Styela clava: one gene and its partner. The protein of the gene in region 1 interacts with the protein of each later gene in a pairwise test. Links are inferred from orthologs where the notes say so. Each region holds a gene or a part of one and is shown in the gene's direction. Other genes may lie near its edges. The genes, in order: Golgi to ER traffic protein 4 homolog and ATPase GET3-like.

Region 1 (7,910 bases):
TCACGACAAATTTTCTTTGAATTTATAAATATTCATTGAAGATAATTTTTTCTGTTTGAAAGTAATGTAATATTGGTCTCCTATATTTCTCGCAGTATTGGATTGGTGAGATAACTTTTTTTTAATAAAATACAAACAGACGTTACGTCAGTGAATATCGTTACCTCATTGCGGCTCCGGGATCAGCTGTCATTTGATTTGTAACAAACACGGCAACGTTGTATTCTAAAAAAAAAATAGGAAGATTGGTAAAAGTCATCTAATTTAAAAATACTACTACTCTAGTCAATACGGAATAAAGGTGTGTATAAGCTACGCAATATCTGTAACTTGTGACTATTTTGTTTTCAAATCGCAAAGATATATAACAGAAAGAGTCTGCCATTGTTGTGCATTTATCAAATACACTGCTGTGTCACTCAAAACTGTGGAATTGTAGTACCAATTAAAACCACGATCAAGAAATTTAACAATGAAATACACCGCATTCGCCACACGATGTAAAAAATATCGACAAAAGCGACGAAGTTATCAGGGTGGGCAAACCACCGATTTCATCTTACCTTCAGATATTTTTTGCAATCTCGATAACATTTGAGCCAACTTTTGTTGTCGATCTGCAAGCTCTCCTCTACCACTAAAATCGACACGAAATAGTGCCATGATTGAGTCCACGATCTGTAAAAAAGATTATACTTTACAAAAGAAAAAGCTTGTCACTAGTTACGCGGTATGCCAAGTTTACGTAATAGATTTTTCGCTGTGCATGGATTTGTCCGTTTTGATAAAAAAATCTATACCAGCAATTTGAAAATTCCAGCTTCTTCATGAAATTTTGCGGCAACGTGGTCAAGGAGTTCCATCTGATGCTCACCTGTAAGTAAGATAAAGTGGTCATTGAAGAGCCAGTCAATCGAATCTATAAATATAAACTATACAAGGAAAATGTCAGGGACGTGGCATTGGCACGCAAGTATGTTGGAAATTTTTTACATTATTTTATGAACCTATACTGCTACCGTGTTTCCCCAAAAATAAGACCTAGCCTGAATTTAAAAAAAGATTTTAATATAAGCCCTCCCCCTTGAATAAGACCTAGTCAACATCGCGATTTTTTTTTATCTATAGTCAATAGCAAGAAATCTATGTTTTGCAGTTATTTTAAATAAAAACGTGTTATTTATAAGTAAATGGATATCGGTTTTCATAATTCGTAATTCTCTACTTTGTAATTTTGTTTTTGATAAATGAAAATATAAGACCTCTCCCGAAAATAGGCCCCCAGTGTTATTTTTCAGAAGAATGATAAATTTACAAGAGCGATAAATCGGAACAAATATCACTGCCGAACAAACCTTGGTTTCACACGCGAATCAAATCATATCGGACATGTCCTACTCGCCGAAAGATTCATAATGTAATGAAAATAAATACATACTTGTGTAAGCCCTAGCATACAAGACGTTGTCCAAGACAGCAGCTTGATCCAGATTGAAACGATCGGCAATAGGTCGAAGTCTATCAGGACGAAATGTATTTTCCGTGTCGATGAAAACAACTTTTCCTCCTGTGTATCCCATCGCTCCTGGCATTTGTGTTGTAACTAAAAAAGAAAAATGTAATAATAGTAAATCATATAATATTAATAACTGAATATGGTGATAAACATTACCGGCGAACTAATTTAATATATAAAATAAATAAATGGGCAAATTATACCGGAATTAGATTTTATATAAAACGGACTGGACATACCACACAGTGTATGTGAAATTTGTGTTTTTCCTGTGCGAAATTCTCCAAAAACTTCAGTAATGGCCATACTCTCTACACCTCCTCCTAGAAGTTTGCTGAATAAAAGAAAAAAAATTAATACATAGATAACGCCGGCTTCAGGCATGATTGGATGTTGTACTGGTGACGAGACTTTTTCGACTAAATTTCGGTGATTGTCACAAACCTTTAACTACTAATAATTATAATAAGGTGTGTTATTGTTTCATGATAATACTGATCAGAAGATAATTTTTATCTGAACTTGCTGTCTTTTGAAATAGGCTGATGCCTACATATAACACAGTGGCGTAGCCGGAGATCTTCAAAGGGGGGGGGGGGGGGGCTTCTGAAATTAGAATTTTTTAAGTTTGATCGAAACAGCTAGCGAGTCCGGAGAACGTGTGTTTTCGTGAGTCTTGAGAGGTTTAAGCGTTGTATGATACAGAAAGATGATTTTATTTTAATTTAATTTCAAAGGGGGGCAAAACCAATCTACGGCTACGCCCCTGCATAACATATAGTTAATAAATAACTTTGAGACATAAGTTCACTTACTCTAAGTCTTCGCTTCCAGTTGAAATCTTGAAGCATTGCTTTCTCTTCATACTGAAGTTGAGAGCAGACATAAACCCAGAATCCTAAATTTCGTAAATATTTTGCGCTACCAAAATTTTATAAACCAGCCGGGGATGGTATCACCAGATTACGCTTGATCTATATTTCGAAGGTATATTATCGGCTTTGATGTGATATTTGAATATTGTAATGGAATAGGAGAAGAAAAAAATTGCGAGAAATTCAAACTACGGACTTCAATATTCACGCAAATTGTAGCCAATGAAATGAGAAATATTTTCGATTCGATATCCGTCTGTATCAAAGCACTTTATCGTAATAGGGCGTGGAAACAGTGTCCCAAACATGACCTGGTGATACGCGCCAGCTGGACAAATAACAATAAAACCTCTCATCTACAATTGCCATCTTTGAAGCCGCCTCCTTGATTTTTTCAACTTTTGCTTCGGAGATTCCTTTGATGTTAGAAAGAGCCTTTTTCGTAGTCATTTGAACGCCTTTTATTGTGCATATTCCCGCTGCTTTGAGCTTTTTCAAATCTGCCGCATTCTGAAGTTCAATAAAACGAAGATCAAACTGAGCGTTTAATTGCCATTTGTCATACATACATTTATTACTACATACATACATGTAGTAATAAACAATTTTGGAAAAACTAATGGTGTTTAATATGCAAATGACATTACATTGAATCTGGGAATTAGGTAACATGCAAAAATACTGCATCTGAAACGAATACCTGTTCCCATACCCGACATATACAGATAACCGGACAAGATGTTTTCCCGTTTCGTTTTCCCGGACTAAATACGGAAATCATATTATATAGCTCTGATATTTTCGAAAATAACGGAAGCTGTAATAGCCTCAAATAGACATAAATGAGAGTTGAATTCCAGCGTAAATAACGACTAATTTGAATCGATTGGGGTAAATGTTGAAAATAATTGAAACGTCATGAACATGGCAAAAGTTAGATCTTCGTTATCAGGCTTGAAAAATATAAAAAATAGTTAAAAACAAGATTGTCATTTTTTAAAATTCCGTTTCAAATGTTTATCAACTTACGATGCCTTGATCCTGTAGCATATCAATATCTTGGAATGTAGCTTCCTGTAATTAAAATTGGACTTGTTAATTGATCGGAAATTGCGATGCCATACAAGCTATGATAGTAATTGATCTCACATTTGGAATTAGATGGAATGAATATTACTTTTGGAAATGTGTATAACCAAACTAGTCAAGCTTAGTTTACCCAGACTACTTTACTTCAGATGGTTTGGCAGGATGTCAGTCAGTCAGTCAGTAGTTTATTTTATCACATACAAAAAGTACACAATGGACAAACATAGATACGAAGGATATAAAAAAATACGTTTCAGCGTGAAAGGAGACGCGATAAACCAGGGATGGTTATCGAGCAGCGTCACCTACAAGGGAGTGAATCTAAAATTAAATCATACAAAGAAAAAAAAAGTCAAACATAAGATACTAACAAAAGTCGTAAATAATAAGACACAGTGATGGATGGATAAAAGTCTTTAAAAGAATTTATGTATTAGATTGAGTTACGCTCGTAGCGTCAATTTCCTTTCCCTTATGGGGATATTGCTTTTGAACTGCACAGATTTCCTATGACATGAAATGCGGAAAATATTGTATTTCTAACCAAACCTACCGGCACTTCTGCAACTATCTTATAACTTACCTCTCCATCACTGAAGTCTTCTGCATTCGAATCTACTACTTTTTGTTGTTGCATCGCGACGTTAATATTTATAATAAAGTGCAAATGCTTTATGAAGAATAGTAGAAAAACTATGGGCGAATGACAAAGCGAATATTCAGACCAGGAAGAGCGGAAAAGCGACGAAGTCGTCTGGTGACATTAGTTGCCAGAATAAATTTTGAAATGAATTACTTGCATTCAAAATGACGGACTTACAATGTCTAGCAAACCATGCATTTTATGTATAACTATTCCTTTTTCTAACAATTATAAAAATCTTTTCATTTTTTCAAAAATAGAAAAGAAATAAAAATATAGTCCAGTATTAATCTTCAAAATTATGATATCATTAATATAGATGCTCCGGTTGAACAAATTCTCCACATGTTTTGTTTTGATATTCTATGATTTTTACGATATAAATAAACTAAATTTTAGAATTTACCTTTAAAAAATATTTAAATGAGGAAACTGATTTAGGATAAATCATTTTTATTGTTATTTTCAACCATGCTATTGCAATTACAACGCACGGTTTATTGTGGGACTCTACGCACTTCAGAAAAGAAAACGAGCTGCCGAATTTGTTTTTCGATTTGTTCCTCATTGCGACTTCGTTTCTTCATTCCCGAATTTATTGATTGTATGTGTGCACTGATGAACAGCCCTGTCAATTGATTTCCTTCCGCCGTTGGGCGATAAATACGTTTCTGGATTATTTTCATAGCCTAAATCAGAAAGACAGTCAAAATCAACACGTCGGCCAAACGCTCAACACCTGTTTTTGAAGAGCCCACTAATAAGCGTCAGAAAGTCATGGCATCCCATACTGGGGGACGAGGGGGAGTGGGCCGCGTTGAAAAAAAGTTGGAAGCAAGTATTCAAAATGGAAATTACTATGAAGCTCATCAGATGTACAGAACTCTTTTTTCCAGGTGAATGTGGTTTTATTTTCTAAATTCTCAAACGCAATGTTTGTCAGTTATTATATCTGTAGTCTATATTCAGATATTGTAGTATTAGGTTACAGGGTTTTAACTATTTTTGGCAGACCCTGCAGACAAAACGGTATATGAATTCATCTAACATTCTAACTCTGAATTTAGACAATGTTTTTTCATTTTCTATCTTTCACAGTTTCAGTATTTGTTTTACTATTATTTTTGCTACATGTTATAAAACATTCATGCACCATAGTACATCATAAGTGTCGAAATCAAGATGTTGATATCGAGAAAGTGTGGTTATTAGAAAGTATAATTATCATAACTATTTTTCAGATATATGGCGCAAAACAGGCATAAAGAAGTTCAGAATTTAATGCAAGCTGGGGCTTTTTTGTTCTTTTCGAAGAATGAGGTAAGAAAACATTATTATCATTGTCAAAATCACTTTTGTGCCATTCAGGTTATCAGGAGTATGTCAAAGTGTGACGAAGCGTTCTTGTTGCGGTTCAATAATGTTTGTCGTTTATGACTGTTTTTAAAATTTACAGAGTGGCAGTGGAGTTGATTTATCCTTGCTTCTATTAGATTCGTTGGAATCCGCTAAAGCTCCAGTGACTGAAGAGCTGATTGGTAATTATTATCACATAGGATAGGAATAGGATTTACATATTTATCCCAAGGAGAAGAAACCCGATAAGACGGCTTATCCATATGGCGAACCACGGCCTCTCGTCCGGTTACCATTCCAAGTCGGGTATGGGATTAGTTTTACTGTATTGTTTGTTTTCGGAAGCATGGACTTGGTGGTGGAGGAAGCCGTAACCAACCAGCGGTTACGTGAACCACCCAACGCACATAACCATCCCTGCATGGGATTCGAACCTGCGAACCCACGCAGAGTAATTAGAGGTGCGGTGGCGAGCGTATTCCTAACGCTTAGCCCGTTGAGCCACACCGCCGCGTATCGTTTATTTAGTTTGACAGAACAGAAAATTATTTGGGTATAGGCATCTTTACTTGGAGCTGTGTCAGGGGTTATAGCTAGTTTGATTCCATGTTTTATTTTACTCGAGGATTTGTGAATTACCCGAGATTTTTTTCAATCAGGCGCTCATTCACGCCTTTTGCTTCAAACATGACCTTATACCAGCAACCAATGATATAATTCAGAAGGACCGGAATCTTTTCGAAATTTTCGCAATTCAGCATTTCTTACATAGACACCTTGGGTGGAGTGGGGGCTTTGGGATTTGAACTATAGATATATCATCATAATTCTTTGAACACAAAAATGCAGAAAATAATTTGCAGTTGTGTTGAAAGGGATTCAAATTAAAAAAAAATATGCAATTTGTAAAGGTTTTTTCATTCATTACTGATATGCTATATTAGTTAACAAACTTCTCGTTTTGCAGTAACAATCGGGAATCTTCATAAGAACATTGGTGTATCTCATCCACAGTTATCAAATTTTGAAGTGAAAGCGATTACATGGTCAACACATACTGATGGTGTTCCTAAAACAGGCCATGCAAAAATAAGGCATGCGTTTGCTCATAATCTATGGAAAGGTAATTCGTATTTTTTACGCACATATATCGTTAATGTAGTATTGACCAAAAATGTTACTAGTATTTTGTCAACTGCCATCTGCTATTTTTATTACATAGCTCATAGCGCATCAGTAATACTTGCATAATGCTATTCTTTCTATTATACCCCACTTCTGATTACTCCACTTTTGTTTGCTCGTTCGAATTTTGTGGGGGATAATTATGTGCGAGAGCCGAGAAGGAGGTTCAAGTAATCATCGGTTACGGCTTACGTCTTCCTCCACCATCAAGTCCATGCATCTGAAAACAAACAACTGAATACCTAAACCCCTTACCCGACATGGACTGGTAACTGGACGTGAAGCCATGGTTCACCCTATGATTAAGCCGTCTAATCCTTTCCTTTCCACCAGGATAAATATGTGAATCCTAACTTCCAGCTGAAGGCATGATATATTTCTTTATGGAAACTTGTGTATAAAATAGTATTATTACAATTTACAACCTTTTTCTTTACTCTAGTTTTTAGTAAGTAATCTTCCGTTCAATACTGAGTAAGAAAATCTATTTTTATTTCTATTTATAGAAAAATTGTATGGCGAAGCCAGACAGCATTTCTTATATTCAAATGATGGAGTAGGATCTGGTGAAATGTTAGTTGAATTCTCAGTCCAGCATGGGAAGAAAGAAGAAGATGATCTTTTTATAGCACAATTCGTTTTACAGTGAGATATAATGTATTTTACTTGTTTTTTACTCAAATTTTAATTTTTCGCTCAAGCTAAATTTATTTCAAAATAAAACGACTATTCTCCTTCTTTATTAAAAGTTATATTTAAAACAGGTTATTGTGCATTCAAGCGAAACAACCAGCTAGTGATGCGTTTAATACATACACAGAGAAACATCCGAGATGTGGAAAGAAATGGCCATTCACGATTCCTCTTCTTAATTTCTTATTTTTTCTTCTCTCAGCTGTTGAAACGTAAGTCGTTAGTTTTTGTTCGTAGTTTCACATCGGTTCATATTTCAGCAGCTGTAGCTTGAGTTAGCAGATATTAATGAATAATTTAATTATTAAATAATTGCCTAATTAAATAATTTAGTAACCGTTAGGCGTTAGCCTACTATCAGTATTTTTGCATTCCATATACAACTATTCAATAAGTACAGGAGTCAGAGTACAAGTTGCAAGTATCACAAGCAAATGTTCAGTTGAATATTGAATCACAAATGCAAAGATAGTTTTTATTATTAGTAGGACGGTCGATGACGAGCTTAAAAGGGAGGAATGTGTCAAAAAAGGTTGACAACCGCTACCATAAC
Region 2 (7,950 bases), on another chromosome or scaffold:
AAAGTTTCACAATCTTAAATCCCGGGACTTAATACCGCCTTCTTTGTTTAGCGCATCACCGCATGGGATCCTCTCCGCTCCAGCTAAAACAACATGCCTCTGCCACGACAACTGGATCTTGACTTAACCCACTCGACTTTGGAAACTGACTATACAAACAAACGGAATCGAGAAGAAACATCTTCCTCTGAATCCTCGTTTGCACCACTCTGGAACTGAAACTAATTGGAAAGAAGAAAAAATGATCGACCACAATAACCCACCATAAATAGTAGCTCCCATCGTATGTATAAAACGCTCGTGAACTAGTCCGGATGTGAAGACCCTAGTACAGGGGTGGCCAACCTTTCACATACCATGCGCCGTAAATCTCTTGTATTCCCACGCCTAATGTCCGCGTCTTGTTGAAATTATATAAATCTATGATACACACACATATATACACACGTATATGTAGTTTTTACAATTTACAACTTCACATGAATAGAAATTAAGCAAGGAAGTATAATGAATAAAACTGATCAATTTTAAGTACCGCCTTTATGAGACTTTTGCTGCTGTTTTACTTTCGCCAGTTTTTTTATTCTTGGAGTTAAGTTTGTTACTGAGAGGAGCAGTGCATTCTTCAAATTTAAATCTGTAAGTCTTGACCTCGCTTTGCTTTGAATTAGTTTCATGGCAGAAAATGTTTGTTCACATCTATATGTCGTTCCGAAACGACATATAAAACCCTGGTCAAATTTTCTCAGTTCTGGAAAATTTTCACGGGGTAACGATTGCCAGAACTTGATCATGTCAGATGCACTTGGGACCGAAGAAAGCTCATCAAATTGAATTTTCAATGATGGATGAGTTTTCAAGTCAATTAGTTCCAATTGTATATTGCTTGGCATCTTCATTATGGTTAGTTCACTAAGTGAAAATGGGTTTATAAAAGCAAGTATAGAGTCTTCTTCTTTTGAAATATCATGAAAACGACTTTCAAATAACTCTTGCAATAACTTGATTTTTTTCTGTGTATATTGCCAAATTGCCATTACCAGCAGCACATTCACGGTGTTCTTTTATGTGAGGTACGATTAAGAAGTAAAGTTAGGCGTAATATTGTGACAACAGGCCCTTAGTATCAATCTCTACTCCACTCTACCCTCGATTCTAATTGGCCTTTGCTAATCAGCTATTTGGCCTAGCGTCGCGTGATTTGACTCCAGGGGCTTCTTCGAGATTAGTACCTGCGTCACAGCAAGCGATTTTACGCTTTGCTTTTGTTGACAATGGTCATTTGAAATTTAGATGGAAAAGGTGGTATTTAGGGGTCATTTTCAGCATGTTGTGGGTTGATTTATAAGAGATTTTTTAGGCTTGGGCAATTCAACTGGTTGTTCAATGGTTATTGGGAGATATTTGGGAAGTCTGGGCAATGGAAAATCCATGTTTCAAGCTGATAAATGACGATTTTCTATTTTTCCAGAAGTTCTGAACTTTTTACTTCAGTAGGGAAAAAATAGTAAATTTTACTAATTTTTGCTAAAAGTCTAGAATGAATGTCATCAAGTCCATCCAAAAGCTAACGTCGATAATCGCCTGTTGTTTCTAATTCCAACAAGTCGTAAGTGGGCGACGTGGAGTAAGAAGAATAGGTTTTAGGTACAATCAAAAGTCACCATGTAAATCGCAAAAAAACGGCTTGGCGTGGAGAAGCCAAGTGCAATTAACAATTTTGGCATGAAAAGGGTTAAAGATGCAATGCGCCACCTCTAATCATGCGATGCGCCACGTTTGGCGCATGCGCCATAGGTATGCCACCCCTGCCCTAGTAGAACACTAAGTTCAACTCCACAACAACGAGAATCAACAAATACTAGGAAGGCATCGCGTCACAAACTTCAACTATTGGAAATACACCGATCAATCCGCCATCAAAAGGAGAAGGTTGTGTGAAGGTAAAGGTACACGATCTTGAATCCCGGGACTTAACCACTTGAACCCGGCAAGCCGGTTTACCGGCTTGTTTGAGTACGCTCTGTGCCCCGGCAAGCCGGTTTACCGGCTTGTTTTTCGTGTCGGAAGGAATCGACTTTATGATCTCGTATCTCAAGAACCACAATGAGTATTAAAAAAAAGCTTGTTATTGGGACTAATTATATTGTAAATATCGGTGCTCTAATATACGATGTTGCAGTAAAATTGGCAATTTGAAAGTGCGTATGAAATTATTGTATGATAACAAATATTTAATATAAAGAATTTCGACTTCTTGCCTGAATAGCCAAATATTCAATCGGCAATATATATGGAGAATTTGAATAGCTTTTTATATACGTATTCAAAACGATTTTACGATGAGCCATCCAAATTTTATGGCCAAATATATTAGATTATCTGTAGATTTACCAGCGACGCTGCGTCAAAATGATGTTCTCATTGAAGAGAGGCTACGTCTCGTCACGCACAACTTTACGTATATTACGCAAATGCAACTAAACGTGACGATATCCGCAATGACGTTACGTCGAGATGTTATTATTTAAATGTCCGTAGGGAGTAATTAATTAACCCGATGCTACGCATTCAAAATTCGCACTACGCTTTGTCTTTGACTGCCCGCTCAAGCCCCATTAAGTTGTGGTTACGTATACGCAATATGAACAAGATTGTGATTTTATTAGCAAATAACGGAACAATAAAGATCATGAAAAATGTATGTACATAAAAGACTGCTTGATAAAATATTTTGAATTGAATATTGCACTTTGTTGTGCCCGGAACAATGAAGAACATGAAAATATTATGCAGATAAAAGACACATTCTAAATCCAATATTGCACTTTGTTTGCCAGTTATACCCATGGTTGTTGGTTTCGTTACCTATATATAGGTACTCATTACAGTATTTGTACTTATATACTGTCTCGCATCGTCTCAGCAACGCTTTGTCTTTAGCAGCTGGATTGGTTTTTTGGCAATAATGTGAATTTTGCTGCATACGACGCATCTATTATCAGAACTGGCGTTTTGCGGTAGGGTATCTAGTTCTGGCGACGCATATGATCTTTTGGAATAAGAGTTGCTCTTTCTGCATTATTAGTTCTCTCGGATATTGATCCACTTGCTTCGCCTAACATTCGTACAATCAGATATTTTGATCTGCAGAGCAGGCAAGTACTTATTTTGGTTGATATTTGAACAAATACTGATGGGCGAAAAAAACCATTTACACGTGAAATTTTACACTGAAACTAATTGGAAAGAAGAATAAACGATAGACTACAATAACCCACCATAAATTGCAGCTCAGATCGTATGTATGAAACGCTCGGAAATCTCTCTTTTTACTAAGATAATACCATCCAATATATAGCGGATGTGATGAGAGGAAGTTTATGTGGTGTGGTGATATTTTCTTGGCAAGGAAAATGATCGGTATAAAATCACACTTCCGTCGATACACTCTGGGCTGGATTCCAGGTGTATCGATCTGATCCGTATTAGTGGTAAAAAAAATAAGGGAAGGCTTATATTAAAATTTCAGTTATACATTTCATCTCATGGATCAATCTGCCCGTAAATATATACTGATATATGCGCGTCGGGCGCACTGATAAACGACGTCAGAGCGTTTCCGAAGCGCCTGTTGGCGCCTGGCGGGCACTACGATCTTCCCGTATCAGCGAAAGTGACTATAATAAAGTGTTATAGTCACTTTGGATCCAGCGACTGCTGGATTGGCGAATGGCGATGGTAGACTTAGGAAGTAGGTACAGAAGTACGAATATCACTCTGTTCAATTTTTTGTTCAGGCTCCACACTCTCATAGTGCATAGATTAAGAGGCGAAGCCATGTTGCGATTTTCAGATTGTCGCTTTCATTAGTTTTAAATTTTATTTTTCGCTATCCAAACGTACCGGTACCGGTACCGTAGCTACGGATGCAGTGATTACCGGTACCGGTATGTGATGTGTCAGAACCAGGTCATACCCGAAATATCGGACTGGTAAAATTAGAAGGGGCTATGGTTTGCTAGATCATTGATAACCAAACTATTTGGCTTTTTTTTTCCCTGGTTACTATGAGAATACAATTTTTGCCAGATAAAAATGAGCCTAATTTACATAGTGCTGTAGTGAGGTAGCAAATTTTGCCATCTTCCACTACAATTGGCCAAACTATATGGCCAATGTCTGGTTGTGGAAACTACAAAGACAATTTGTAGGAAGTAAAACAATTTATGGAAATCGTTCATATTGTATTTTTAATTGAAGAGGTGAAGTTTTCCCTGTGTTCTCTGTGATGCGCCATATCACTCATGTGTAATAAAATATTTTTCCATGTTTGGGCACGATGGTCTATTGGAAAAGCATTGGACTTAAATATGCTGGTGTTGCAGGTTGCGTATCTTTAGGCTAGTTCAAATCCCATGCCCACCAACTCTCCCAAAGCGTAATAAATTGACGAAGCAATGCAAAACCAGAGAGATTCCGAGCCTTTAAAACTAGTAGATCTCTACATTTCGTTAGATATCGGTGGCTGATTGTAAGGCCTCGTTCTTAGCGAAAGATACAAATAAGTGTACTGAAAATATGCCATTCTGCGAAATAATCAGTTAATGTAGTCACATTTTACTTTTTACTTATCGATCTTAAGGTAAGTATATTGATAGGTATTTGTCTGTCTGTCTGTCTGTGTGTGTGTCTGTTAGATGCACGCGATATCTCACGAAAGCGAGATTGAATCTGCTCCAGATTTTGCATGTGCATTCATCTTATCTCGGACCAGAAGCCTATTGATTTTGGGCGAATCATGTCGTATAATTAGCGAGTTATCAATCAATTATTGATATAGTGATCTAGATTTTTGTAAAGCGAGAGAATTTTGAAACCCGCCGAGTGTGTGTGTGCGATGCGCAGTGCGCAAGTTACAAGAGCGGATGAATCGAAACTGCAGTTTCTGTTTTGGGGGATCCCCTAACTATCGATCGATAAGTCTTCGGTTTCCAACCGATATTCTCGTGTTACATATTGATATGTTCTCATTAATGTTACAGAAAGTAAATCAGTAAATCATTACTAGAAATATGGAAGAACAATTTTATGATGCAGAAGATGATCTTGAACCACTTACCCCAACATTAGAAAACATTGTTAATGAGAAAAGCCTTAAGTGGATTTTTGTTGGTGGTAAAGGAGGTGTTGGAAAAACAACATGCAGTTGCAGTCTTGCCGTTGAATTGTCAAAAGTTCGTGATCTTGTGTTGATCATATCCACAGATCCAGCTCACAATGTTTCTGATGCATTCAATCAAAAATTTTCTAAAGTTCCGACAAAAGTAACCGGCTTTGACAACTTATTTGCAATGGAAATTGATCCAAATCTTGGTACAGCTGAACTTCCTGATGAATTTGCCGAAGACGAAGATAGTTTCCTTGGTATGGGGAAACAACTAATGAAGGAAATGTTTGCTGCATTTCCTGGCATTGATGAAGCTGTCAGCTATGCTGAAGTTATGAGGCTCGTAAGAAGCATGAATTTTGATGTTGTTGTTTTTGACACTGCTCCAACTGGTCATACCCTGCGACTTCTCAATTTTCCTGACATGGTTGAAAAGGGTTTGGGAAAGCTACTTAAAGTTAAAAATAAATTAAGTCCTCTTGTTTCACAAATGGGAAAATTTATTGGACTTGGAGATGAAGTAAATACAGAAAGCATTGCAGGGAAAATTGAGGATATTTTACCGACAATAAGAGAAGTTAATAAGCAATTTAAAGACGTAACCATGACTACATTTGTTTGTGTTTGCATTGCGGAATTTTTATCACTTTATGAGACTGAACGTCTTGTTCAAGACTTGGCAAAAATTGGGATAGATACCCATAATATTATTGTCAACCAACTTTTATCCCAGACCCAAGAGAAACCATGTAAGTTGTGTGAATCCAGACGCAAACTACAAGCAAAATATCTTGACCAAATTGAAGATTTGTATGAAGATTTTCACATTATAAAAATGCCTTTACTTGAATCTGAAGTTCGAGGAATTGAAAAAGTTGAGAACTTCTCACAATATCTAATCAAACAACATCCAAACTTCCAGAAAGATTAAAATCTGTTACAATTTATTATCAGAATGTCGAACATTTTAATGTCACATACTTGTATCCCATTTGAAATTTGGAGCACCTGTCATTGGCGCTTCAAACAGCTTTATTAAGATTGCAGTATATGTGATACTTAGTTTTAGGCATTCATGCTGCATCTTTCTTACTTTCCGAATCCTGTATTATTCAATCAATGACAGATGTAATTTTGATGCAAAATTTGGAATATGGGATGACATTTTTATTTGTAATTGAACATGATTGACATTATTTTGTCTTATGGCAATTATGCTGTTCTTCAGTGGAAATATTTCCCACAGTGCCATAAGTTTTGATAACAAATACACTGATACTACTGTGAATTGAGAGATGGTGATAAATACTGTATGTATGCTTTCGGTGAAGTATGTATCAATAGGAAATGAACTCGTGTTATTATAAACTTTCAGTAATAGTATGTGATTGCTTTGTAGTATGGGCTATAGATGATGTGAACAATGTTTGTAAATTTTATTTGTCGAAGGTTATCTATGTGATGTGTTGAAATTGTGTAAATTTTTATGTTCTGAGTTGGACCAACTATTACTTTCTAATGTTTTTCTGGACTTTCTTCTTTTATCCGGACTGAAAATTTGTGCCAATCAAGTTTCCTGTAGAAATATAGGTTTGATAGTTTTTTATCAAGTCGCCAGAATGTCACAATAATATCTTGAAAAACAAACCCCACTTGAGTACACAACCTTGGCTTTAGCTAGTATGTCAGTGAAAAATCTTGTCACATTCTTTTATAATTGTGTTAAGTCTAGTTAAACTTAAATCATAGAGCATTGTAATTTTAGTTATAGCTTGATCTCGTTTTTAAGAGATGCTTATAGTTCTGCTATCACTTTTTAATTTTGATTCTGAAGCACTTTTAAGAATTAAAGAAAATCGTGCTAAATCTAAATTGAAATACTGCCAGTTGTCGTTCCGAGAAATGTTTTATTTTTTCAATTTGTATACAGTCATAGTATGTTCTCTTGAAGTATGCATTATATGTCGTAGCAGACTCAATTTGAGAATAATTGTGATCAAAATATCTATTGTTATTGTGCATATTATAAATCAAAATATAGATCATTTTGCTTGGAATAATTTTGTCTTGTTATTTTAGAATTTATCTTATAATGTCATTAAGATGTATAAGGTGAAATAATGGTTGCAACCAGGAGGAGTCACAGTTTGGACAATAATGTCGGTAGTAAAAGAAAAGGAATTATTCATGGACGTCGAAGTAATATAAGGAAACATCCCAATTCCGCAAATAAATCTTTTCGAGCTACAAAACAGCAACGTGACTCGGTAATTATTTTAAATTTATGTTTGACTCACTGAGATTGGATAGAAAAAGTTAGCAATGAATTAACCCAGGGTATGCGGAGCTGATTTGGAATCGCATTGGCTCCAGATTTGGGAGACCGGTACTGTGTCTATAGCTCTGGCACCAGAGCATCGTCTTTTTTTATCATGTATTTGGCCCGGGATCCTTAGCCATGGATGTTTATTTTTGTGAAGTGGGACTCGCAACCATGACACGAGGGTTTCAAATTTCAAATAAACTCAATTTCACAGATTGATCCTGAAACTTTTAATTATTATTAGAAATTTAATATTAAAAAAAGATAAACTATAAACTCAGGTTCCGGCTCTAGCTTTTTTCTATTATGTTAAGCTTGGCTCCAGGACTAACAAAGCGTCACAGATTTGGCTACCTAGCCCTCTGTGTATCTCACTGCAACTTTTTGGGTTTTTGATTAGCTTTTTGTGGTCATTGCAACACTTTTTCTTCTTGTGCTTGTGCTTCTTTTAATCTTC

The links.
Region 2: the proteins of Golgi to ER traffic protein 4 homolog (region 1) and ATPase GET3-like interact in a two-hybrid assay, tested with the Caenorhabditis elegans proteins (2 studies listed by BioGRID). The link is inferred for Styela clava from reciprocal best matches to the Caenorhabditis elegans genes cee-1 and asna-1.

Annotation. Positions count from the first base shown.
Region 1 is NC_135259.1:14,901,933-14,909,842, reverse strand, and holds the start of Golgi to ER traffic protein 4 homolog, read left to right. Parts: upstream 1-4,635; 5' UTR 4,636-4,900; coding exon 4,901-5,019; intron 5,020-5,364; coding exon 5,365-5,443; intron 5,444-5,579; coding exon 5,580-5,661; intron 5,662-6,446; coding exon 6,447-6,602; intron 6,603-7,170; coding exon 7,171-7,309; intron 7,310-7,428; coding exon 7,429-7,569; intron 7,570-7,910. Other genes in the region: meiotic recombination protein DMC1/LIM15 homolog, read right to left, coding at 165-225, 564-678, 801-874, 1,439-1,603, 1,756-1,850, 2,332-2,414, 2,752-2,901, 3,421-3,465 and 1 more.
Region 2 is NC_135257.1:15,085,450-15,093,399, forward strand, and holds ATPase GET3-like, read left to right. Parts: upstream 1-5,027; 5' UTR 5,028-5,075; coding exon 5,076-6,101; 3' UTR 6,102-7,251; downstream 7,252-7,950. Other genes in the region: ATPase family AAA domain-containing protein 2B-like, read left to right, coding at 7,291-7,437. UniProt on the Caenorhabditis elegans protein: ATPase required for the post-translational delivery of tail-anchored (TA) proteins to the endoplasmic reticulum. Recognizes and selectively binds the transmembrane domain of TA proteins in the cytosol.